Linked DNA regions of Saccharomyces cerevisiae S288C. The gene in region 1 interacts genetically with each later gene. Each region holds a gene or a part of one and is shown on either strand. Other genes may lie near its edges. The genes, in order: SMP1, ELA1, TMS1 and NDI1.

The links.
Region 2: mutations in SMP1 (region 1) and ELA1 together harm fitness more than expected from each alone (negative genetic interaction), as found in Saccharomyces cerevisiae (2 studies listed by BioGRID).
Region 3: mutations in SMP1 (region 1) and TMS1 together harm fitness more than expected from each alone (negative genetic interaction), as found in Saccharomyces cerevisiae (2 studies listed by BioGRID).
Region 4: of SMP1 (region 1) and NDI1, changing one suppresses a phenotype caused by changing the other (phenotypic suppression), as found in Saccharomyces cerevisiae (one study listed by BioGRID).

Annotation. Positions count from the first base shown.
Region 1 is NC_001134.8:591,645-598,282, reverse strand, and holds SMP1 (Smp1p), read left to right. Parts: upstream 1-3,418; coding exon 3,419-4,777; downstream 4,778-6,638. Other genes in the region: YBR184W (uncharacterized protein), read right to left, coding at 1-920; YPC1 (phytoceramidase), read right to left, coding at 1,218-2,168; YBR182C-A (uncharacterized protein), read left to right, coding at 2,728-2,922; 40S ribosomal protein eS6 RPS6B, read left to right, coding at 5,509-5,514, 5,867-6,571. UniProt on the Saccharomyces cerevisiae protein: Transcription factor that controls part of the HOG1-mediated osmostress responses. Binds to the DNA sequence 5'-ACTACTA[TA](4)TAG-3'. Does not appear to function in the MPK1 pathway.
Region 2 is NC_001146.8:214,188-220,536, reverse strand, and holds ELA1 (elongin A), read left to right. Parts: upstream 1-1,874; coding exon 1,875-3,014; downstream 3,015-6,349. Other genes in the region: URE2 (glutathione peroxidase), read left to right, coding at 336-1,400; PDR16 (phosphatidylinositol transporter), read left to right, coding at 3,495-4,550; exosome non-catalytic core subunit CSL4, read right to left, coding at 4,736-5,614; BNI4 (Bni4p), read right to left, coding at 5,937-6,349.
Region 3 is NC_001136.10:663,106-669,409, reverse strand, and holds TMS1 (Tms1p), read left to right. Parts: upstream 1-2,639; coding exon 2,640-4,061; downstream 4,062-6,304. Other genes in the region: TMN2 (Tmn2p), read left to right, coding at 1-394; ARP10 (Arp10p), read right to left, coding at 1,552-2,406; SPO71 (Spo71p), read left to right, coding at 4,500-6,304.
Region 4 is NC_001145.3:27,766-34,170, reverse strand, and holds NDI1 (NADH-ubiquinone reductase (H(+)-translocating) NDI1), read left to right. Parts: upstream 1-4,363; coding exon 4,364-5,905; downstream 5,906-6,405. Other genes in the region: NGL3 (3'-5' poly(A) RNA exonuclease), read right to left, coding at 320-1,837; YML119W (uncharacterized protein), read right to left, coding at 2,487-3,560; Rag GTPase GTR1, read right to left, coding at 6,309-6,405.

The DNA.
Region 1 (6,638 bases):
TGATGGGGTAGAAAACTGAGTGTAGAAGAAATATTTGCAATACAATTCGATTTAACTTGAAGTTGATAATTAAAATTGCTGAAGAAAACTCCGCTATTACAATTTTCAGAGGTGACTATTAAGTCATTTCTCTTCATTTGTAAAAGTGAGAATAATCGTAATATTTGCTTACAGTAAGGAAGACGTATCGCATTAGGTATCTTATCTTCTGAATTGTAATCATATCCGGAAACTTTTTTGGTTCCTCTTACTGCTGCAAATAGAGACGAATCTGAAATATCTCCCTCTTGTACGTCTTTTTTGGGTAAATCAATATTTCCCTGAATTTCTTGGACTTTAGAACATGAAAGATTTTTCCGTTTGCGATTTTTATTGCGTCTGCTAGCAATCTTCTCTATAAGTGCACATATGTCTTCATTGGGGATTTGGGACCAATTCTGATTTTCTATATCGGTATTTTGATTCTCATTTGTTGGGAAATACTTCGTCTTTTGTAATGGGGCAGATTGCCTTCTAGTTTTATTTTTTTTATCTGCTATGTCTTCTAAAATTTTACAAATTCTGCTCGTACTGAGTTGAGACCAATCGTGCCCTTTCTCAACATGGACGTTTTCCTTCTTGAGACATGGGATAGTTTTCATTGATAGTTCCATTTTGTTTTCACTTGCGCTCGTTTTGGCATGTTGAATGGCATCCGCCAGCATTCTTGCTTTTGGGTAATAAGGACAAATATCCATTATATCCAAATCTTCCTTTTCCTCATAGCCTGTAAAATTATTAGGTTCGGATACTGTGTGCTCTATGTTGTTATTAAATGTTATTATTGGTCTTTTGTGGTTTCTTAATATTGTTCCACTATCGTATTGAAAGTTTGATTTTTCAGAAGCCAAAATAGCATTCAATACATTATTTTGGTACATGTCCCGAATTAGCTAACAAATTTCTTAGTATTTGTGTTACAACAATTAGAGATTTTGTTTTGTTTATTTACTTTCATCAATTCACGTTATTTTGCCGCCGACGGCTTTGAGACCGCACAAAGTTTTTTTTCACCAGAGCAATAAGCTGGGTCATTTAAACTATTCGCAAATCAAGGATTCAAAAGATCTTTTCTTAGATATATTTTCTTCGTGATTCGTCATTAAATAGAACATGAAATAAAAAAAATAAAAAATAAATATGCCTATACATTATGAATATATATTATGCTATAATTATTACTTCTCCTTTTTAACTTCAATTGATTGATCTTCTACGTATGGGCCAAATAGTTCAAGTGAATATCTTGTTGAGGGTTTGCGCCCTTTCCATATCAGTTCAGGGAAGACTTTCCATCTCCAGATGAACTGGTAATTGCAGCTGACGTTGAGCGTAATGACCCTTAAATGTTCCAAAGAAACAATGTAGAAATAAATCCCCATACCAGTTAATATATGCCACCATCCGTGTGGTTCAAGCAGTACACCAAGTGGTAAAGCCAAAATACTTCTTCTAACGTGCACCCAGAACGAACAATAGTGTATATCAAGTAGCCACGAAATGTAGCCAGATAAGAACAAAATTGCGCCGAGCGCCATTGAAGCCTTGAGATTTCTTTTGGCAAGTGGATCATGGACGTATCTGTACGTCAAACTTCCTGCAGTAGCAGCCACAACTACAATCTGTACGCCAAACAAAATTTGATGGATATCGACATTTTTGTAAATAACGTAGAGTATGCTTGCTGTTGTAACGGCCAGGCCGATAATTACGCCGATGAATATCTGTTCAAATAGAGGAACCTTCTTGTGATTATCTCCGTTAAGTAATGCCTCTTTGGCCTCGCATACTAAACTCCATGTCGGAATGCACATGGCGTATATCATTGGAAGTTCATCCAATAGTTGGAATCTATACTTCAGTGTCATATGAAATAGCCATGATCCTACTCCGACCAAACCGTACCCGAAGCCAATAAGTAAAAACCTTTTTTCTAATTTATTCTTGTAAGCAGAGTAAGTTGTGTAAATCGCTGACAGTATGAATACGCTGTTAGTTAAAGTGTTTGACCACTCGGCAATATAGGGAGAAACGACATAGTTCTCCTCACACCAGTCAATAGTGGAAGTTGTTTCTCCCCAAACGCCGGGGACAGAACTCTCTGGATAGTTCCAACGAAATATTCCCATCAATCTTCTATTTTCTTAAATAAAGATTTCTGCTTTTATTTACAAATTAATCTCTGTAAGTATCGGACCTTATAAAAACCCCTTACACAATAACTATATAGATGTATATAGGATATATAGATATATATATGCAAATATCTTTTTCCTATAAGCGATAAAAATAAAATGCTACCCGAATTCTATTTAGACATATATAACCGGAGACAGATATTTTTTATGTCATGGGGTAGAGTAGTGCGTTTGAAAGTATCAAACAAAAAGTTTCAGGGGCCGGATCTAATCGGCATAAATATTTTCCGATGTCTCGCGTTAAAAAACTTGCGTGATAATCCGTCCGCACTAGTGGGATCGAAAGAAGGGGCGTGGTCAGAAGGGTAACGTTATGTGAAACCCTTGCCTTTGAATCTTTCCTGCTATGCTACGTCGGCCGACACTTCCATTTGAAAAAAATATAAACGATGGTGTTGCCAAGTATTTTTTTTCGCCTTCGTTTAACGTCAGCATTACTAAAAAGGTTAATGGTTGGCGATACTAACTAAAAAGAATTTGTAGAAATGCCATGAAGATTTTCACGCTGTATACCATGATTCAGCAATACTTTTTTGATAATGGCGGTGTTTATAGTATAAAGAATTTTTATTCTGCAGTTCCGAAGGAGAAAATGAACATAATTCTTGTTTCACTTGATTGTGAGCTCCAAAAGCTTGCTCTTAAGCTGTCAAAGAAAACTAGTGGCACTCACACTACGCACTAGCTTTTACACCACATCGTTATTGTTTTCCATTAACGCTTACGTAAATTTCATCTATCATTCTACCTGTACCGTTCCCGATGATAGTGGCTTACAAAACGGCTTGAGGTACAGTTGGTTCGAACTTTTTGCATTATTGTTGCCTTCTTTTTTTAGTAACAAGCGGCGTCTTTGTTTCTTCTGCAAAAATAATCTCGCTCGAGTAATTGGAGGCTTGGCAAAACTTAAATCTCCACGCATACCCGGCTTCCTATGTTCGTGAAGGACTCAAAAACATGAACTATCCTTATCCATCTTTCTTTTGCCAAATTATTTTAGCCAATCTATATAACACTACATCATTCCTTTGAGTCTTTCTTTATCATTCATTCGAAGGGAGAAATATACGAGCCAAATTCAAAGACAGACTATTTTTTCGAGCAGGCCTATCTCATCAGAAAAAAATTTAATAAAGCTCTAGATAAGCAAACACAATTATTTTCAAAAAAATTTCTGCTAAATGGGTAGAAGAAAAATTGAAATTGAACCTATCAAAGATGATAGAAATCGTACAGTTACTTTCATAAAGCGAAAAGCAGGACTATTTAAAAAGGCTCATGAATTGTCAGTACTTTGCCAAGTAGACATTGCTGTCATTATTTTAGGATCCAATAATACATTCTACGAATACTCTTCTGTTGATATGAGTAACCTGCTTAATGTTCATCAAAACAACACTGATCTTCCTCATAATATCATAGAACCATCTGATTATGGTGACTATGTGAAAAAACCACGTGTTGTTCTGAATGAAAGGAAGCGCAGGCGAAGAAGAGCAACCGTGTTGCAACCAGCTTCCCATTCTGGGAGTTGTACAGTTTCGAGTCAAGATTCCTCCAGTGTACAAAACAATGGGAATTTAAGCGCTCCGTTGGCGTCAAATGACGCCGGGAACGCTGGTGTAAGTACACCATTGGTGCATTGCCACGGAGCAATATCACGTAGCGGATCCAATCATTCTGACTGTGCAAGAAATAGTGCAGATTATCAAATGTTGCAAGGCGGTTTAAATTCTGGTGGGAGTTTTCATGCTAATGATTATAAAGAAAGCGTAGACCAACAGCATGTTGCAAACGAGGCTATTCATAGGAATTTTATGAACAAGAGGATTAGGCCGGATACTCATTTACTACTTTCTGAATCTAACCACTCTAATTATCATAATTTTTACCCGTCGCCTTACGAGAATTTGCCAAAGCCTTCATTGCCTGCAAGTTTAGTGGGCAATATTCCATCCTTTCAATCGCAATTTGTACAGGTTATTCCGGCAAATAGTAACCCAATGGGAAAAGGATTTAATGGGACGGGTGACAGCGAGAGCTTTGAAGCAAAGCAAAAGATACACCCGACAGTTGCTATATCAAATACTTTGGAAGGTCCAGCTCCAGTGCAGGCGATGGTCCATCACCTGCACCAACTGAACAGCAATAGAGGAAAGCTCTCAGGGAAGCCATATTTAAAGCTAAATATTCCGAAGGCCACAAATGACGCTTGCCAGAGGTCGCCAGCAATGTATTCAGGAACCGCATCACCGAAAACGGATGTACAAGCCACTCCCAATCAAATGCTCGCCAGCAACATGTCCTCCCCTCTTTCTCGTTCAAAGTTTTTGGGATTCAAGAACAATGATATGGACGACTTATATCATAATGGCCGATGTGGCAGCACTTATGTAAATAACAAAACATTCTTTCTGAAACCGCCAATTGGAAGACCGCCTAAATTTCCGAAAAGCCCGTCTTCATCTATTGTGGTTTTTCCTTCCTCGGTAGCTAGTTCAACTTTGAAATCCACGAGTTCGACAAACTCTCCAGATTAATGAATCGCTTTCTAGCTACTTTTTACTACAAGAAAGCATTCGCTTAAAATTAAGAGTGTATGTTGGCGCATTTAGGCAAACGTCTTCTAAATTAGGGCTATAGACAATTATGTCGCTCGTACATTTTTCAGATGTAGTGACGCAAATTTCTAGCAATTTGCAGGTAGTGCTCCACGGCCCCCTTCCAATTTTTGTGCACTCAATCGATCAAAACAATAGAGACTGCCCTGTTAACTTCTCAACATAATTATGTAAAAAATTATCTCATTAAGCCAGATAGCAAATATATCACATATTGCATTGATTAATTTGAGAAAAATATACATGTATCTTTTCAGTTAATTTTATTAAAAATAAATTATTTCCTTACTTTTTTTTCTACAGTTTGCACCATTAACCTCTTTTCTTGCATCCATACATCTTTGAACTCCATACATCTTATTTTTTTGCTGTTTTTTTTCAGTGTCTCGGGCATACAGGCCGCTTATCTTCATGCCGGCCCATCATCCTAGGAAACTCTTTCGGTATGGGCCAAGGGCAGGCGAAAATCCTATGTGCGTGGAGCTGATACAATCTCGGCTGGCTTGGTTTGTAGGGCACGGTCAATGAATGCCTGATGGGAGAAAAATTCATCTTTATGAAAAGTGATCTTAATTTGAATAGTGTGCCCTTCAAAACATTTGGAAGTCATTAATTGAAACTATCCAGTGTGAATAGACGACTGAGCCATCATGAAGGTATGTAATATCACCCAAATCCTTAGAATTCTAATGAATCAGCACGCGCTAACCGGCTGTTTCTGACTGTTTGATAAACGTATACCCACAAATTAGTGCACTATAATAAAAATTCTCAAGAACAACGTTGTTTAAACGAGATAATTCCCTCTAATATACACGTACCGACACTTAGGAAAATATCTCGCTAAGTTCAAATTAAGGAATGAAAAAGGAATTTACGAAAAGGGTTTAGAAATATCAATGAAAATAAGAAAAACCTGTAACGGAAGAAAGGACAGCAGGGATTCGTTGGAATTTGTCGATATTGGCTTCGGACAACTTTACTAACAAATGGTATTATTTATAACAGTTGAACATTTCTTACCCAGTCAACGGGTCTCAAAAGACCTTCGAAATTGATGATGAACACCGTATTCGTGTTTTCTTCGACAAGAGAATCGGTCAAGAAGTCGATGGTGAAGCCGTTGGTGATGAATTCAAGGGCTACGTCTTCAAGATCTCTGGTGGTAACGACAAACAAGGTTTCCCAATGAAGCAAGGTGTTTTGTTGCCAACTAGAATCAAGTTGTTGTTGACCAAGAACGTTTCTTGTTACAGACCAAGACGTGATGGTGAAAGAAAGAGAAAGTCCGTCAGAGGTGCCATTGTTGGTCCAGATTTGGCTGTCTTGGCTTTGGTCATTGTCAAGAAGGGTGAACAAGAATTGGAAGGTCTAACTGACACTACTGTTCCAAAGAGATTGGGTCCAAAGAGAGCTAACAACATCAGAAAGTTCTTCGGTTTGTCCAAGGAAGATGACGTTCGTGATTTCGTCATCAGAAGAGAAGTCACCAAGGGTGAAAAGACTTACACCAAGGCTCCAAAGATCCAAAGATTGGTTACTCCTCAAAGATTGCAAAGAAAGAGACACCAAAGAGCTTTGAAGGTCAGAAACGCTCAAGCTCAAAGAGAAGCTGCTGCCGAATACGCTCAATTGTTGGCTAAGAGATTGTCTGAAAGAAAGGCTGAAAAGGCCGAAATCAGAAAGAGAAGAGCTTCTTCTTTGAAGGCTTAAGTATGTCTTGGACCTGCATAATTTTTATACTTTTTCCTTTTAGATATATGTACTTTTGGCTTAATTT
Region 2 (6,349 bases), on another chromosome or scaffold:
GGTGACGCAGCCTGGAATTTTTTTTTCAATTCTCGCCGAATAGGAGGATTGATGAGCTGCCACTATTGAATTTTTGAGGAAGAGTGGCTTCAGCATGTAGTTTTCCTTTCTACTAGGCCAGAAAAGCAACTATACAAAGACGAAAGCTTCCTTACTCGAGGTTGAAAAGAATAGCAAAAATCTTTCCTTTTCAAACAGCTCATTTGGAATTGTTTATAGCACTGAATTGAATCGAAGAGGAATAAAGATCCCCCGTACGAACTTCTTTATTTTTAGTTTTTCATTTTTTGTTATTAGTCATATTGTTTTAAGCTGCAAATTAAGTTGTACACCAAATGATGAATAACAACGGCAACCAAGTGTCGAATCTCTCCAATGCGCTCCGTCAAGTAAACATAGGAAACAGGAACAGTAATACAACCACCGATCAAAGTAATATAAATTTTGAATTTTCAACAGGTGTAAATAATAATAATAATAACAATAGCAGTAGTAATAACAATAATGTTCAAAACAATAACAGCGGCCGCAATGGTAGCCAAAATAATGATAACGAGAATAATATCAAGAATACCTTAGAACAACATCGACAACAACAACAGGCATTTTCGGATATGAGTCACGTGGAGTATTCCAGAATTACAAAATTTTTTCAAGAACAACCACTGGAGGGATATACCCTTTTCTCTCACAGGTCTGCGCCTAATGGATTCAAAGTTGCTATAGTACTAAGTGAACTTGGATTTCATTATAACACAATCTTCCTAGATTTCAATCTTGGCGAACATAGGGCCCCCGAATTTGTGTCTGTGAACCCTAATGCAAGAGTTCCAGCTTTAATCGATCATGGTATGGACAACTTGTCTATTTGGGAATCAGGGGCGATTTTATTACATTTGGTAAATAAATATTACAAAGAGACTGGTAATCCATTACTCTGGTCCGATGATTTAGCTGACCAATCACAAATCAACGCATGGTTGTTCTTCCAAACGTCAGGGCATGCGCCAATGATTGGACAAGCTTTACATTTCAGATACTTCCATTCACAAAAGATAGCAAGTGCTGTAGAAAGATATACGGATGAGGTTAGAAGAGTTTACGGTGTAGTGGAGATGGCCTTGGCTGAACGTAGAGAAGCGCTGGTGATGGAATTAGACACGGAAAATGCGGCTGCATACTCAGCTGGTACAACACCAATGTCACAAAGTCGTTTCTTTGATTATCCCGTATGGCTTGTAGGAGATAAATTAACTATAGCAGATTTGGCCTTTGTCCCATGGAATAATGTCGTGGATAGAATTGGCATTAATATCAAAATTGAATTTCCAGAAGTTTACAAATGGACGAAGCATATGATGAGAAGACCCGCGGTCATCAAGGCATTGCGTGGTGAATGAAGGCTGCTTTAAAAACAAGAAAGAAAGAAGAAGGAGGAAAAGAAGGTTATAAGGGTATGTATATAGGCAGACAAAAAGGAAAATTAAGTGCAAATATAAACAAAAATGTCATAGAAGTATATAATAGTTTTGAAATTTCTGTTGCTTCTATTTATTCTTTGTTACCCCAACCACAGAATTCCAAAATTTTGTTTTATGTAATAATTGAAATACTATAAATTTCTCAACTATATTCGGGGTGTTGTCACTGTATATCTGGCGCTTTCAATAAAGCTGGTACAATTGCGTATTTTTCTCGGCATTTGCCACGATGGGCTTAAGAAAGATCACAATAGAAAATTTCAAATATTTAATATTTGCGAAGAAGGGATTTGTTCAGTTATGACGATTAGATACATATGTAACTTACATGCAAACGGTTTTTGTTCATGGAAATACGTTCTAGTGAATGTATAAATCGATTGATGTCGAGATATGAAAAGTTTACAAACACTATGTGAAATCTCATTGATGAGAAATCATTCAAACATACAATCTGTGAGTAATGTCCCCTATCACTTATTAAAGAGGATACTGCAGAAAGTAAAAATACCACAACTATTAAAACTTGAGAAAAGCAACGTACTATTGATATTTGACGATGATGAACTATGGTTAGAATTTTTAAGGCAAGATTTCCCGACTAATGTACACGAACAATTTGTCTCTAAGAGAGACATTATTTGCAAATATTACTTTGATTTCGTTAAGGAAAACGATATAGAACTGTACCATTCGAATCAGGATTTATTGAAGTCTTGCGTGCGTCAATCAGTCGTCAAAGACATCCGAAACAACAAGTACCGAATACCATACAGAATGTTATACTCAAAGTACCAACAAGAAGTGGAAAAGAAACAAGAGGAAAGCGCAGAGAGATTAAGGCTGGAAATGCAGAAGTTGCAGCAAGAAAGAGAAAAAAAGCAAACCATAGTGGTTGACCACACTGTTTACTTCAAAAAGAGAAACACCAAGAAGACTACAAGGTTGCACAACGAACCCCATTCGCAATTATACATGAAATCGTTGAAAGATCACGAGTCCAGACTAAAGCATTTCAAAGACGGCGGATTCAACATTGCAAAAAGGCATGCGCAACGTGTGGCCTTTGGTGGCCAAGCGGGCGGACAATCGTCTTCCCCCAAGAAAGGCCCATTGTCCATCAAACCGGAGCCTGTTAAGGTAAATCGTCAAATGGATAATGTCACAGCAGAGAAGAAAGATGTTACGCAGCCCATCACGCCGGTGAAGAAGAGAAGATCCGAATCACCGTCAATCTTTCTCAATCGTAAAAAACCTGCGCTATTCAGGCCTACTCCGAAGACAAACGCTGCAGGTTCTCGACCCCATACAACAGCGATCACCAACGATCACCGTACTACTTCTCATCCTTATCCCCACAAAGATGTTGTAACTTCAATATCAAGTGTCACCGCAAATCCCGTAACAAAGGGCCACAAGAAGAAGAAATCCGGAATTTTCGTACGAAATGCCGGATCTGACGGAGATAGTTTTCCGCACGTGACCGCAACCGGCCCTACTACCCGTCCGTATATCTATGAGCCACGGAAATAGCAGTAACCCAACTCCGAAGGCCGTCACATCCCCTGCGATTTCCCACGGGTCCAGTCATTCCGCGGAGAAAGAAAGCAACCGGAAGCAACGGCATCCCTGCTTATAAGCGATTTTCGCGTTGCGCGTCATCTTTTTGTCTTCCGTCTTAGTAATTTTTATGATTTTTTTCATTCCACCCGACTCTATTTGAGTGCAAGCATGCGATATATCTCTCTATATATTGCCAGATCTTTATCGCAATAGGTTCATGCACTATATGCGCATCCCACTCTTGTACATGCACAATATTGTGCTCATTGTCTGAATATATATATATTTATATATATATATGTATGTATATATATCAGTTCTAGATAGACTAATACCACTTCTTCGTTAGAAAAATATTTCAATCCTTATTTTGTTTCTAACTGTTCCCTTCTCTCCATCCAACAAATAATACAAAACCACTTTATATAAAAAAAATTACAAAAGCAAAAAATGTTCAAGAGATTTAGCAAAAAGAAGGAGGCTCCAGAAGACCCAAAAAATTTGATTAATATTGATAAGCCTATCAAAGAACTTCCTGCTTCGATAGCTATTCCAAAAGAAAAACCACTTACAGGTGAGCAACAAAAAATGTATGACGAAGTGCTAAAACATTTCAGTAACCCTGACTTGAAGGTTTATACAAGTGAAAAAAATAAGTCGGAGGATGATCTTAAACCCTTAGAGGAAGAAGAAAAGGCATGGTTGACAAGAGAATGTTTTTTACGTTACCTAAGGGCTACTAAATGGGTGCTAAAAGACTGTATCGATAGAATCACCATGACTCTAGCGTGGAGAAGAGAATTCGGTATTAGTCATTTAGGTGAAGAGCATGGTGATAAAATAACTGCTGACTTGGTGGCCGTCGAGAACGAATCAGGTAAGCAGGTGATTTTGGGTTACGAAAACGATGCTAGACCTATCTTATATTTGAAACCGGGCAGACAAAATACAAAGACTTCTCACAGACAGGTACAGCACTTGGTCTTCATGTTGGAAAGAGTTATCGATTTTATGCCAGCTGGTCAAGACTCTCTAGCTTTGCTAATAGACTTTAAAGATTACCCTGATGTTCCTAAAGTACCTGGCAATAGTAAAATCCCACCTATTGGTGTAGGGAAAGAAGTGCTGCATATTCTACAAACTCATTATCCAGAAAGACTAGGAAAAGCACTTTTGACGAATATTCCTTGGTTAGCATGGACTTTCTTGAAGTTAATTCACCCTTTTATTGACCCACTGACCCGTGAAAAGCTAGTTTTTGATGAACCATTTGTTAAATATGTCCCTAAGAACGAACTAGATTCGTTGTATGGTGGTGATCTGAAATTCAAGTACAATCATGATGTTTATTGGCCAGCTCTGGTGGAAACCGCGCGTGAAAAAAGAGATCATTATTTTAAGAGGTTTCAAAGCTTCGGTGGTATTGTAGGTTTAAGTGAGGTTGATTTAAGAGGTACTCATGAAAAACTTCTTTACCCAGTAAAATCGGAAAGCAGTACCGTGTAAAGGCAAATTTAGATAGATAATGATAATGCACTATAATATATAATAAATAAAAGAGAATAAAAAGTTTAATCACGTTCCCGCTTCTTTTTCCTAACCATCAAAGAATGCAATCTAAAGAAGAAGAAGCGAATACCCTCTTTTAAATATATACGCGTCTATATGCACTGTAGATAAGCTGTTACATATCAAAAAGGTTTGGCACATTTGCGCTTTTCTGTAGCGCCTGTAACCGGTGAAGTCATCATTTGCCAGTCTGTAGCATACATCAATCCACCAGCACCATTAGCAGCTCTGGCGAACACGACCCCAAGGTCATTCCTTGCAGTGGTCAAATAGTAGTTGGTTCCGTCACCTAATGATAAAACTTGCGCCCTAACAATATCTCCCGGCTTGAAACATTCTATCACTTTCACACGATCTCTGTCTGTAGACCGTACATCCTGAGACCTGATTATACCTCTGAATGTCTCACCTAAATCTGATGATGCTTGAGAAACAGAGAACGTAGCTGCTCCAGAACCGCCACCAGCAGCGACTATTCCCGATCCATTACTGCCGATGCCACTATCAATTGGAGATGGTTTATCTTCCACAGCTAAAATTTCGACATTGGCTCGTTGCAACGAAAGCCTTGTCACCCTGGTCAGCACAATATCACCTTCCTTCGGTAGGTTATTGGCAAAATCATTATTAGCATATTTGTTGGTTTTACGACCCTTTTCTGTCCCAGGAAGCACTGAAACCAGAATATTTTTTACAGTTCTTCTTGTGACATCATTAGGTGATGCATCTACTGATTTTTCTTCCTCTGTAGATTGATCAGTGCCTTCACGCTCTTCTTCCTGATCAGTTTTTTTTTCTTCCTCACACCTCACTGTCCCAACTAGTGTAGCAGTTATAGCTTCTAAAGTTCGTCCGTTGTGTTCATATTGAATTAGTTTAGTTCCGGGACCGGGCACATAATTGAAAATTATATCTTCGCCATCTTTATTTTCCGTACCGTACTGTGGGCATATTAGTTTACCTGGATAAGCTATTTCTGGAAACTGAAAATTGCATGCCATTATAATACACTTATAGATTGAGGTATTCAATGCTCTGGAAAAAATCAAAGAATCTTTAATATACAAATGCGTAGTTAATCATGCCGTACCATAAGCTCATCATCAGTGAATTCTGGATCTTATTTTTCTTTCTTTTTTCAATATTTTTTGGAAATTTTTACTTCACGTGACGGAGACGGGTAATGCAGACGGTATTTTGAAATGATGCCGCAAATACAACACATAACACCCAAGATTCTTGCGATAAATTATAGGTTTATAAAAACTAGAATGTCTTGATATGTATGATTTGATTCATTTCCATTTCTCCCAGTTTTCTGCTCTAATAAAAATGTGTGTAACATCGCGAATCATCGTGTACTTCCATTGCGCTCTTTAACTCATTTAATTCCAATTTGATCATTTGAGCCAGTTGTGGAGTAAGCTGGTTACAAGTGGAAATTTCTGGATGTCTATCATATTCGAATTCTCCATAAGTGTCGTAAAGTATTATCTGGGACGAAAACCGGACACCCTGGTCATTATTACTGTTTACATACACCTCACCTAGACTTGTTAAGTCTGATTTTACGGGAGAATCAGGCGTCATGGAGTCAATAAAAGAAGTATTCATTCTTGGGGCTTTTAGTCCTTTAAAGGACATTGAAACAGGTCTATTGGGTTCGAATTCTGGTAAATATGCATTATTTCTTGGAGTAACTTCTATGGGCTGTTCTATGTGTTTGTTGAAATCTT
Region 3 (6,304 bases), on another chromosome or scaffold:
CGGATCAATAGCGGTTGAGCTGTACTTCATTTACTCCAGTTTATGGTTCAACAAAATTTTTTATATGTTTGGATTTTTACTCTTTTCATTCTTATTGTTGACCTTGACAACCTCATTAGTTACCATCTTGATCACATATTACTCGTTATGTCTAGAAAACTGGCTATGGCAATGGAGAAGTTTTATTATTGGTGGTTTAGGATGTTCAATCTATACGTTCATCCACTCCATACTATTTACTAAGTTCAAGCTTGGTGGAGTTATTACTGTCGTGCTCTATCTCGGATATTCACTTATTATATCTGCATTATGTTGTGTCGTCACTGGAGCGATTGGTTTTTTTAGTAGTATGTTTTTTATTAGGAAGATATACTCTGCCATTAAAGTTGAGTGATTTCGTTATTCTCTCCACTAAAGTAAAAGAAGTGAATACGTTAGTTTTATTTTTTTTTTTTTTTTTAATTTTTTGAGAAGTGTTTTACTTCGCAATGCATTTATATCCTATATGTCCTGGCAAACTTTTTGATAAATTGGAATGCAAGTTTTAACGCGTTTTTATGTAGCACTAATACACTGTATTGAAGATTTTTTTTTCTTTCACAATTTGGAAACGATTATATTGGATATATATTAGAAGTTTTCCTCGAGGATATAAGAAATCCGCAAAAGGGAATCAACAATTCTATATAACAACATTATTCTCTCTCCGTTTATATTTTATATTAAATTCATTATCTTATTAAATTATCAATTCTTGCACTTCAGCTTCCATTAAATCCGATAATTGTTATGAAGTCTTCTAACAACTCATTCGACATTAATAATAAAGAATATTATTCGATATATTTATTTATTTTTATTCCGGCAATAATAAATCTGAAAACGAGTTACTCTTTCAAATGACATGATAGTTATCAAATCCAAATTCTTTAGGAGAGTGTGTAATTAGGTGAAATATTAATGGTTAACTTTCTGTTGTATTACGGGCTCGAGTAATACCGGAGTGTCTTGACAATCCTAATATAAACAGTCTTAGGGAAGTAACCAGTTGTCAAAACAGTTTATCAGATTAATTCACGGAATGTTACTTATCTTATATATTATATAAAATATGAATCATACTAAGTGGTGGAAGCGCGGAATCTCGGATCTAAACTAATTGTTCAAGCATTTATACGTTTGGGTAGTTCAGCTAGGGAAGGCCGTGTTTTATCTCATGTTGTTCGTTTTGTTATAAGGTTGTTTCATATGTGTTTTATGAACGTTTAGGATGACGTATTGTCATACTGACATATCTCATTTTGAGATACAACACTTTCGATCCAAATTGGTCTCTTGGCCCAGTTGGTTAAGGCACCGTGCTAATAACGCGGGGATCAGCGGTTCGATCCCGCTAGAGACCATTTTTATTTTTTCTCCTCTATTGTTAAAAATAGCTCTTTACTATCATAAACTTTTACATCAAAAGCTCAATAAGGCTAATTGTTGTGGAAAGACGCAGTTTGGTGAAGAGAACACTTCCTGTTTTTGTTTTCTACATATACATAAAGCCTATTGTAAGCGCTTCACTCCAGTTCTGAAGTAATAATCAAACCAATCAGGAGCAATATGAGGATTGTTATAAAACTCATCTCTTTCTATTCCTACAATGTTGCTCCCCTTATAGTGCAGAAGTATTTTCGCGCATGCAGAACCAGCCTGCCAGTAATTTTTAGGAAACTGGATTTTGGACGTATCCATTTTTAACTTGAATAAATTCCTTATTACTGTTTCATACGCCTCTTCAATGTTTACTATAATGATATTTTCTCTCAGTGGCCTTCTCAAGTCGATAGGAAGTGACTCTACAATATTTTTGACAAGATTTATTACCGGGGTTTCATCTACTTCACAATTTTTAGAGTTGTATTCTTCGTCAAAAAATATTGGCATGTAGAGACTGCCCGGGAGAGGAATTCTTGACTCAACCTGTCTTTTGCCTCGTTTTGAGTATTTTATGAACTGTTGCAAAGGTCTAAGGTCGAAAATAGGTACGCATGTAGTATAATTGGTACCTATATCTATAACTATGGCATTCCTTGTATTACAGGATAAGCAGTGCACAATGGCCCTGGGGACAAACGAAACGTGAGCGCAGTCAAATTCCTTAAACAAGATGCTACAAATAATTCTTTTCTCTACTACAGAAATGAAGATATCTTCTAGTATCAACACTTGTACTTCTCGATTTCCCAAGATGTTGCAAATTTGGAAGTAATGTTCAAATATTTTTTTCAATTCTTCCCTATTTTTTTCATTAATACTACCTGTTTTCCAGGCGATAATTTCTTGTGGACACGCATCAGCACTTCTTCCAATTTCGATTCTGTTAGCTCCCAAATAGACTATCACAATAGTATTCGACATTTCCTCATAGGGTTTCCTGGGTAGATTTTTTTTATCATTTCACAGTGTCGAATATTGTAGTATTTGTACCTCTTTTGTTTATGTCTCTCGGCTACAATAGAAGTTCCGACAATTAGATTCTAACAAAAAAGAGAACTGTTTTTGAGGTCTTTATGCCCCCAAAACGAAGTTTATAATCAAACAACAGATTTACTTCATATCAAAATACCCATCACAAAGTACAACAATCTACCATGGGTGCCGTAATTTCTTTGCCAGTTAGCATGGCGGGCTCATTCGTGGCGTCCTGTTTTGGAGGTTGCTGCTCAAACTTGGTGACTAAGACTGCATCTTCCCTAGGATCTTCTTCTTTAGGGACAAGACTTCTGTACGCCGTTTGGCTTTTACTTAACTCATTGATATCATGGGTGTCCTATTCTGCGAACAAATCAATCCTATGGCCAGGGAAGACATGTACTGGGACTGGGGAATGTGGATTTTTTACAGTTCATAGGTTGAATTTTGCATTGGGATGCTTACATTTGATATTGGCGCTTGTACTAACGGGCGTAAAGTCGACTAATGACGTAAGAGCAGCATTACAGAATTCGTGGTGGAGTTTAAAATTTATACTGTATTTATGTCTCATTGTTTTGTCATTTGTCATCCCCAATGACTTTTATATTTTCTTTTCCAAGTGGGTGTCAGTCCCTAGTGGAGCAATTTTCATCCTGGTTGGGCTTATATTATTAGTAGACTTCGCTCATGAGTGGGCTGAAACGTGTATTAGTCACGTTGAGTCAGAAGATGAAGATTCCTCATTCTGGCAACGATTTTTGGTTTTAGGGACAACTTCAATGTATACCGCATCGATTATCATGACTGTTGTTATGTATGTTATGTTTTGTCATCAACAATGTAACATGAATCAAACAGCGGTAACAGTCAATTTAATATTAACTGTTATAACGCTTGTCTTATCGGTGAATCCTAAGATCCAAGAGGCCAACCCTAAAAGTGGGCTGGCCCAAAGTAGTATGGTTTCTGTTTACTGTACTTATTTGACAATGAGTGCCATGTCTTCCGAACCGGATGACAAAATGTGTAATCCGTTGGTTAGATCTAGTGGAACCCGTAAGTTTAGTATCATTTTGGGCTCTTTATTTACTTTTATTGCGATTGCTTACACCACAACTAGAGCCGCTGCTAATAGTGCTTTTCAAGGCACCAATACTAATGGTGCTATATATCTCGGGAATGATATCGAGTACGAAGGACTAGGTGGACAGACAAGAAATCAGTTGAGGTATGAAGCTATTAAACAAGCTGTAGAAGAAGGATCTTTACCGGAAAGTGCCTTATATGATACCGCTTGGTTAGGGACATCATCTCCTACAGGCGCAATGGATAACCAAAATGATGATGAAAGGACTGGAACCAAGTACAATTACACTCTGTTCCACGTTATATTCTTTCTGGCAACCCAGTGGATTGCAATTTTACTAACAATAAACGTTACCCAGGATGATGTAGGTGATTTTATACCCGTAGGAAGAACATATTTTTATTCTTGGGTAAAAATAGTTAGTGCATGGATATGTTATGCCCTTTACGGTTGGACAGTGGTAGCCCCAGCGATTATGCCCGATAGATTTGATTACGAGAATTACTATTAAATAGACTAACACAAAAAGATTTTCTTATAATGTATGTAACTTTTTTTTAAGTAGCCCCCAGTAGAAACACTAATTTTACTATACTCATGCACTAGTTTCAAGAAGATGAGTAAACCTCCCTCAAAAAAAAATGGATCTTAATTATCTAATTGAGATATCGCTTCTCGAGGATTATTTTAACTATCCTCTATTTATTTGAAATGCCAATTACAGTTATTATCGATCGACCGTTTTCGAAGGATCTCTTTTCTTCTTTTAAAGGTAGAAAACATTCTCTCAACCTTCTTTATGCGATATTCGGAGTTTGCGCCGTGCTTCAAAGATATGGTAAAACAAAATCATTGTGGCTAAAGAAATGTCTGGTGAAAATATCAATAACAAAAGTCAGCATACAGTGATTGTAAAAGAAAGGGATTTGTCTTCGAAACATTTCGAAATATGGATTCTATCGTTAATGTTGTTGAAGACGATGTTAAGTACGCGCAGAGAGTGACTAGCTTCAGCTCACCACAAAATGCAAATGTCAAGGTCTTCACCATTCCCCGGCATTCCTTCACAGCGTTTAGACTGTCGTATGTTTCACCTACAGAGCTTTCAGCATGTTCACAGGTGACTTTGCTAGGTGGTATTCCAAAACAATGGTACGCTGATCAAAATAATCAAGTCTGGAAACTTCTAACTAAAATTTCACTTCGGAAGGTTAGGAAGCAATCTGACATGCTAAGAAGATATGGCTATGGAACAATTTACAAAAAGCGTGTAGGGAAGATCCCAACTGCATTGTACTTAAGAAAGCACTTTACATGGTCCTATGAAGATAATACATCAATTCACAACGGTCATCGTCTTAAAGAAGCGGAAATGGAGATGAAGAGAACTAGGTCAAGTCCTGTGCAGAAAAGTGAATATAAATTAAGTCTACCCAGAAGGTGTAGGAGTTCTTCCGATCAAAACTTCATGCGACAAGAGCTTTTGAAAGAAAAAAAATCAGAGCTTTCTAGAAACAATAGTTTGCCTCTCATCGATACGGCGCAAGCCGTGGATATCCACCCAGTTTTACATGAAGAAGATCAAGAAAATACAAATAAAAGGAATAAATCACTCCTTTCGAATTTGAAACGAAAAGATCTAGGGGAATCAAAAAGCATATCCAGAAAAGATTATTCGCATTTTGATAGAATACCGAGCCCCTCTTCAGCCAGAAGTGTTGGAGAAACAGACTTTAATTATAATAGAGAACCTTCTGAAGATACTTTGAGATATCCCGACAGTATAATTGAAGTAACAAATCGGACAAGCCCCGCCCCAAATAGTATTCTAAGTAGATCAGGACAATTTGTTAACTCGAATGACCTAAGTGATGGCTTTTCAACATCTAATACTATCAATAACGTGGGATTAAATGCAAATGAAAAGATTTTTTTTAATGCTCTACAAAGTATGGAAAAGGAAAACTTGATGCTGTGGAAAACATCCCAGAAATATGGGACTTATCTCGATGAAAGACGTAAAAGTGCGGATGCCTTTCAAAAAAGAGAAAGAGGTTCATGCGTGGACATTGGTAAGTTGCATTCGAGTCATCTTCCGTTTATTAATATCCTACCTCCATGGCCTACCGAACTGACGGAGGAAGAGAGAATTATACACGATAGGCTAGCCTCTAAACATTCTCATCATATAAGAAAACATGTTCACAATGCTCGAAACAAAACTAGCTGCAAAATCAAAGATAGTGTTGGAACTTTCTTAGGTATGACAAATTCACTAACAAATAAAGCAACTGTCAAGAAACGCACCGGTCAGATCCTTAAAAAAGAAAAAATGCTAGTGATGGTAAAAGAAGCTATACAAAATAAAGTACCACTTCCCAACTTCTCTGAAAACGAGTGCTTTGATACAAGGGTCAGTGAACGGTGGAAAGAATATATTGTTATTGCAAGATCCACGGGAAGATTCGATCCCCCGATACTTTTACAGTTCTATCGTCATCGTCATATCCCAGAAATCGAAGATATCAGTTCCATAGCTACAAAGTATCACCGCAACCCGTTGGATTTTTTTCTTTCAAGAAATTGTATTGTAAAATTCTACAGCTCTCTAGACAAAACTATATCCATACAAAAGCCTGATAAGCGGTTAGGTGGGTTTATAGACGAGAGTATTGAAAAGAAGGACGAATTAAAACACTATTCCCCCATTAAAATTTTTATCTTAAGATGCAGCAGTATTCGTTCGTCTGGTAG
Region 4 (6,405 bases), on another chromosome or scaffold:
CCTTGATAATATAAACGAACGACGTGAATGAGCCAACTACACCTCTTCAGTCTTTGGGATATCTTCTCTGGATGCTTTTCACGTAACCTGAAACAAGGAAAAAGGGCAGGTTTGTTGTGGTGTTTCTATGCTTGATTTTATTTTTTTTTTTTTAGCCCGTTGAGGCGCAACGAAAGGGGAAGGGTGACCAAAAATAGCACGTAAAAGCTGTGAATAAGGTGAAAGTGACGCTAAATTGAAAGAAAAATCCCAGTGACCATCGAAGCGTTGATTACTGTCTTTCAAACACAAATGTAGGTTGTTTATATATATTGTTTCTTTATTTTAAGCTATGCACTTTCTCCCCCCCAAAAAACAAGCGTATTTGGCACATTAGGGAAATGTGATCACTAGCATATTCTCCCTCGAAAGGTTGGGAGTGTTTGGGCATTTCTTGTGCGCACGGCATCCTCAGATATCCGATTATTTTTACGTTGTTATTTCCTTCAAAAGCATTCAGAGGCTCTTTCTGACGCGTGTCCTGATTATGATCACCCTCGATATAAAATATGTAGTCTAATAATCCACACCATGTATTGGCCCAGTTTGAGAGTCCCGGTTCGCCGTGGCTTCCGTTAGCATTTTCAGGATGCACTTTACCGTAGCCAATCCCATACAAAGATACGCCTTTCACATGTAGTGAATTATGCAACGCAACTAATTGATTTACCAGAGCCTTTTCTTCCTTTGTGGCTGTAAAGCTCTCTGGTTTTGGGTTTTGTGGTTGATCTGAATGGCCTTCGCCCCTAGACTTTTCATCACACTCTTCATCATCCTGGTCACTTTCTTCTCCATTCCTTTTTTTTGAATACCGATACGCTAGTGAGCATTCCACCATAGCTCTTATTGGGCCTTTTAATATCAGTGGTCTTTTCGTTATGGCCAAGTACGGTGGCTCTTCAGGTTCGGTATTGAAATCACCCATCAGTAGGCTATGCCAGCCATTATATTTGGAACATGCTTTAATTTCCTGGATCTTTTGTAAAACCAAGTAAGATTGCCTTAATCTTTCAAATACCCCAAAGGGATGCCAAAATAGGTGTGTATTTGCGACGATAATTCCTCTTGATGATGAATCTGTTATACCCTTGAAATATAGCGATATAATAAGGGCAATATTTTTAGTTCTTGTTCTTGCTGAAATGACATTTCCCGCCAATATATTATCGTAGTCCAGCATCCAATCATTATCTAACTGGAATTTTTTATTGTTCCATGCAACTAGTAGTCCATGAGTTTTCCCTTCATGCCTTTTGAAAATCACATCAAACCCTAACTTATGGAAATTCTCCTGCCAGAAGTTGAGTTCATTGTAATCGACCTCCTGCAACGATACTACATCAGGCCTGTACTTTTTCAATTCGTGGACCAAAACTTTTGATCTCTTATGCCACTTTAACGCTGGTCCACTTTCTGGGAAAAAATCTCTCCTAATCAAGGTTTGTGCTAGAGTATTATAGGTCATTATTTTAACGTCCAATGAATCTTGGGTGACTTGTATGGTCGCTGGCGTAAGACCTTTCGAATTATCATGGTTGATAGGGAGGAATGGTCTTTCAATGAATTGTAAGTCAGGCGTTGGGAAGTCAGGGTCCTTCCCTTGGGATATTAGAGAGTTCCTACGTACCTGTCTCTTCTGAGCACGTTCTTCTCTGATTTTCTTGATTTGATCCACACTTAATTGGTCTCTGTGTATTTTTTGATGTGCTGGGCCATCTTCACTAGGTGAAACGAGGCCTGAGGTGGAGGAGGACTCCTTCTGTGAGGGGGATATTTTGCCTTCTACTTGGCTATCCATATTGAAATTAATGTAGGAGACAAAACAAAAGAAAAAACTGTTTAATGCTGTAAATATTAAATTTTCAGTGAGCTAACTCCACGATAGTAAGTAGTCTGCTTCAACCATGTGTTAGTTTGGTATAACTATTGTGATTGAATATTGGTATTATAGGTCATCCTTTTTTTCTGTGCAACGAAGGGGTGGCTGAGCATTTTATATATAATGTCGGGAGAGGAATGCAGGACTTTTAACATATCAAATGAATAGTATCTGAGTTGTTCACATATTTGGTACGTATATTATTTATTATTCTGCAACTTGTTTACTGCATGATAATATTGAAATAAAGTGAAGAGAAGACGGCACAGAGAAATTACAATGGCGCAAACGTAAGGCAAAAATGGCACAACGAATTCTGAATTCGATTGCTGGATCACTTTTCAAAGATATTGTGTTCGGTTGTGACAAAGGCATCATTAAAATAATTATATGTCTTTTGTCATAAATTTAGATCGTTAATAGGCTTTTTTTTGTATTTTTAATTCACATGTTAAATGTTTCGTTTTGGCAACTAATAATAAACTACATTAAGTAAAATGCAAAACTTCAAAGTGCGGAAAAATGTATTGGTATATAAATACTATAGACAGAATACAGAGAATCCGTATCATTTCAAAGGTTCATTACTTAGTATCTCCGCAGGGAGGATTCTGTTGTTCGCACTTCTCTGCTGAAAGCTATCCTCCTCCTCATCTTCCTCATCTTCATCTGAAATGGCGATGCTAAAAGAATCTACCATTCGAAATATATCAGATCTATCCATTGCCTTTCCATCAAAACTCAATTCAAAGCTTTCGTTGGCATTTGTGGAAACACTGGCCCCGGCTCTCTGCTTCGCATTGGAATTAGGGAGATTCTTTACGGGCTTGCTGTTACCTTGCAGCTGCTTTTGTTGCCGTAACGTTGATGTCAGCTGCACTCCGCATAATTCGTCTAGTGATTTTGAGATCCGTGTCTTACTATTTGTGGACAATTGAATAGGTTGCAAGAAGTGATAGTTTTTCTCAAACTTCAACGAAATTAGCAGGATTATGATTTTTTTGGATATATCGTCTATCGTTTCGTGCACTGGAGATGGTAATTTATATGTGGTAACGACGGACCTAGGTAAGATGCACTTCTTGATGTTGAAATTTGTTTTTGATTTCGTGGGAGAATTCGTCAACTTAGGTGCCACACTAGTGCTACTTCTTGTACCATACAAATCAATTGGCTTGGTAAAATACCGTTTCTTTGTACACGTTCTGGAAGGAAAAATAATTTCATTTATGCTGCTCACTTCCTTCGTTTGATTGAATTTAAGAGATTTAGAATTTAAATGCGACACCGACTGATGATGCGGATGGGAATTTACATTGGTGTTTGCAGCGCCCATGGTATTTGTATATCTAGATGGCCTGTTATTATTACTGCTACCGCCCCCGGTATAATGGTCTTCATTAACTCCTTTATTAACCTGCGAAATACTGTTAAACCTTGGTCTCAGGTTTTTTGTGGGTGACTCTGGATAATAGAAAAACTGCTGGTTGGAATCGAAAGTCGCTTTTTGTTGGAAGCTCAGGACTGGCTGCTGATTCAAATTAAACTGCGTAGGAGGCAGGACCAGCCCACCGCTGTTATTGATGTAAGATGATTTGTTATTGAGCGTCCTTCTTGGCGACACTGATGGACTTGGGCTCATTGCTACCTACTTTTTTTCTTACTGACCTAAGGCTGCAGGTGCAAGAAAAGAGTAAAAGAATGTTAAAATACGTTTTGAAAGGTCTCTGTTTTCATGTACAATTGAGGGATAAAAAAATCTTTTCTTTCTTTCAATGCGGATGATTGACACTTTCTTATTTTGTGTTTTTATTTATGTTCTTTCCTAATCTGGAAAGCATATTAAAGACCGGCGCTACCCGGTTAAGTAATCATACACGTGAAAAGCACGTGAACAACAAAGCACTTTAAAACTCATATACTACGCATTTAAAGAATGCTAAAACGGCAATTGCCACTGGGCACCATTTAAAAGGTCAATAATGAATCTGTGACCTTTCTTTGCTATAGCATCACTACAACTATGTGTTGCTTGTCGCTAGCAACGAACCTATTATTCCTTCGCTTTATTGTCGAAGACCACAAAATACTCCAAAGCAATAGAATGTCTCTTTCCGCAAATAACTTACTCAGGGAAACAATACGAATATGTGCAGATTGCCGATCATTGCTGAAATGCCTCAAAAATATGCATTTTCTCATGACCTATTCATTCGGACCAATCATATGAAGGCATTGAACGTCCGGGTAACCACAATAAGAGTGCTCCCCCTTAGCGCTCTTGGTTATTGCCGGTATTTGCAACGTCGACAGGGTATATATAAGATGTATAGGGCATAGTGGGGAAGGAGTTTTAACTACCAATTGAGGAGTTTCAGGTAGGGTGTCAGTTTCATCACATCATCGAATTACACGTTTACCCAAGAGAAGAAACTAAAAACCACTATGCTATCGAAGAATTTGTATAGTAACAAGAGGTTGCTCACCTCGACGAATACGCTAGTCAGATTCGCTTCCACCAGATCCACAGGGGTGGAAAACTCCGGAGCAGGTCCTACATCTTTTAAGACCATGAAAGTCATTGACCCTCAGCACAGCGACAAACCAAACGTGCTGATACTGGGTTCGGGGTGGGGAGCTATTTCGTTTTTAAAGCACATTGACACCAAGAAGTACAACGTTTCCATCATCTCTCCTAGAAGCTATTTCTTATTTACGCCTTTGTTACCTTCTGCACCAGTTGGGACAGTAGACGAAAAGTCAATTATTGAGCCCATCGTTAATTTTGCTCTCAAGAAAAAGGGGAACGTTACCTACTATGAGGCAGAAGCCACCTCTATCAATCCCGACAGGAATACCGTTACCATAAAATCATTATCTGCCGTTAGCCAGCTATACCAACCTGAAAACCATCTAGGGCTGCATCAAGCAGAACCTGCTGAAATTAAGTACGATTATTTAATCAGTGCTGTAGGTGCGGAACCTAACACATTTGGTATTCCTGGGGTCACTGATTACGGTCATTTCCTGAAGGAAATTCCCAACTCTTTGGAAATAAGAAGAACTTTTGCCGCCAATCTAGAGAAGGCTAACTTATTGCCAAAGGGTGATCCCGAAAGAAGAAGACTACTGTCCATTGTCGTGGTTGGTGGTGGGCCTACTGGTGTAGAGGCCGCTGGTGAACTACAGGATTATGTTCACCAGGACCTGAGAAAGTTTCTCCCTGCATTGGCCGAAGAAGTCCAAATTCACTTGGTCGAAGCTCTGCCCATCGTTTTGAATATGTTTGAGAAAAAGCTTTCATCATACGCGCAATCACATTTAGAAAACACTTCGATCAAAGTACATCTGAGAACGGCTGTCGCCAAAGTTGAAGAAAAGCAATTGTTGGCAAAGACCAAACACGAAGACGGTAAAATAACCGAAGAAACTATTCCATACGGTACTTTGATTTGGGCCACGGGTAACAAGGCAAGACCGGTAATCACTGACCTTTTCAAGAAAATTCCTGAGCAAAACTCGTCCAAGAGAGGATTGGCAGTGAATGACTTTTTGCAGGTGAAAGGCAGCAACAACATTTTCGCCATTGGTGACAATGCATTTGCTGGGTTGCCACCAACCGCCCAAGTAGCGCACCAAGAGGCCGAATATTTGGCCAAGAATTTTGATAAAATGGCTCAAATACCAAATTTCCAAAAGAATCTATCTTCAAGAAAGGATAAAATTGATCTCTTGTTCGAGGAGAACAACTTTAAACCTTTCAAATACAACGATTTAGGTGCCTTAGCATACCTGGGATCCGAAAGGGCCATTGCAACCATACGTTCCGGTAAGAGAACATTTTACACCGGTGGTGGCTTAATGACCTTCTACTTATGGAGAATTTTGTACTTGTCCATGATTCTATCTGCAAGATCGAGATTAAAGGTCTTTTTCGACTGGATTAAATTAGCATTTTTCAAAAGAGACTTTTTTAAAGGATTATAGATGAAATTAACATGCCCTTTTCTGGAAAAAGGAAAAAAGGTGGTAGGCACCGTTTTTTCCTGAGTTTGCATCCTTTTTTTTCTAAAACCCTCTAAACAAAACCTAACACACACACACACGCACAAAAAAATGCACATGATGTTTTATTATTTATATATTCCCACTTTTTTCGAAATGATGCTTGACTAATGCACAAGCAAAAAACCCCGACAAGATTGGTTGATCACTTCAGCTTTTTCCTCCCATTGTCCTATATATATATCTGTGATTATTTATTTCTTCCTCTTATGTTTCTCTATTTATTTTATACGCCAAATCCCATTTGTATATACGTAACGAAAGCTTTATAATTCTTATGCCCCGCAAACACTCAATTGCCGAATGTTTCGTCTACTCACCTCAGTCATTGGAAAAACTCTTTGGCTTTTTTGATGTTTTCCAATACTAATTCTTGTGGAATATTCATATCTTTCAACACTATAAAACACACCATATTGGAC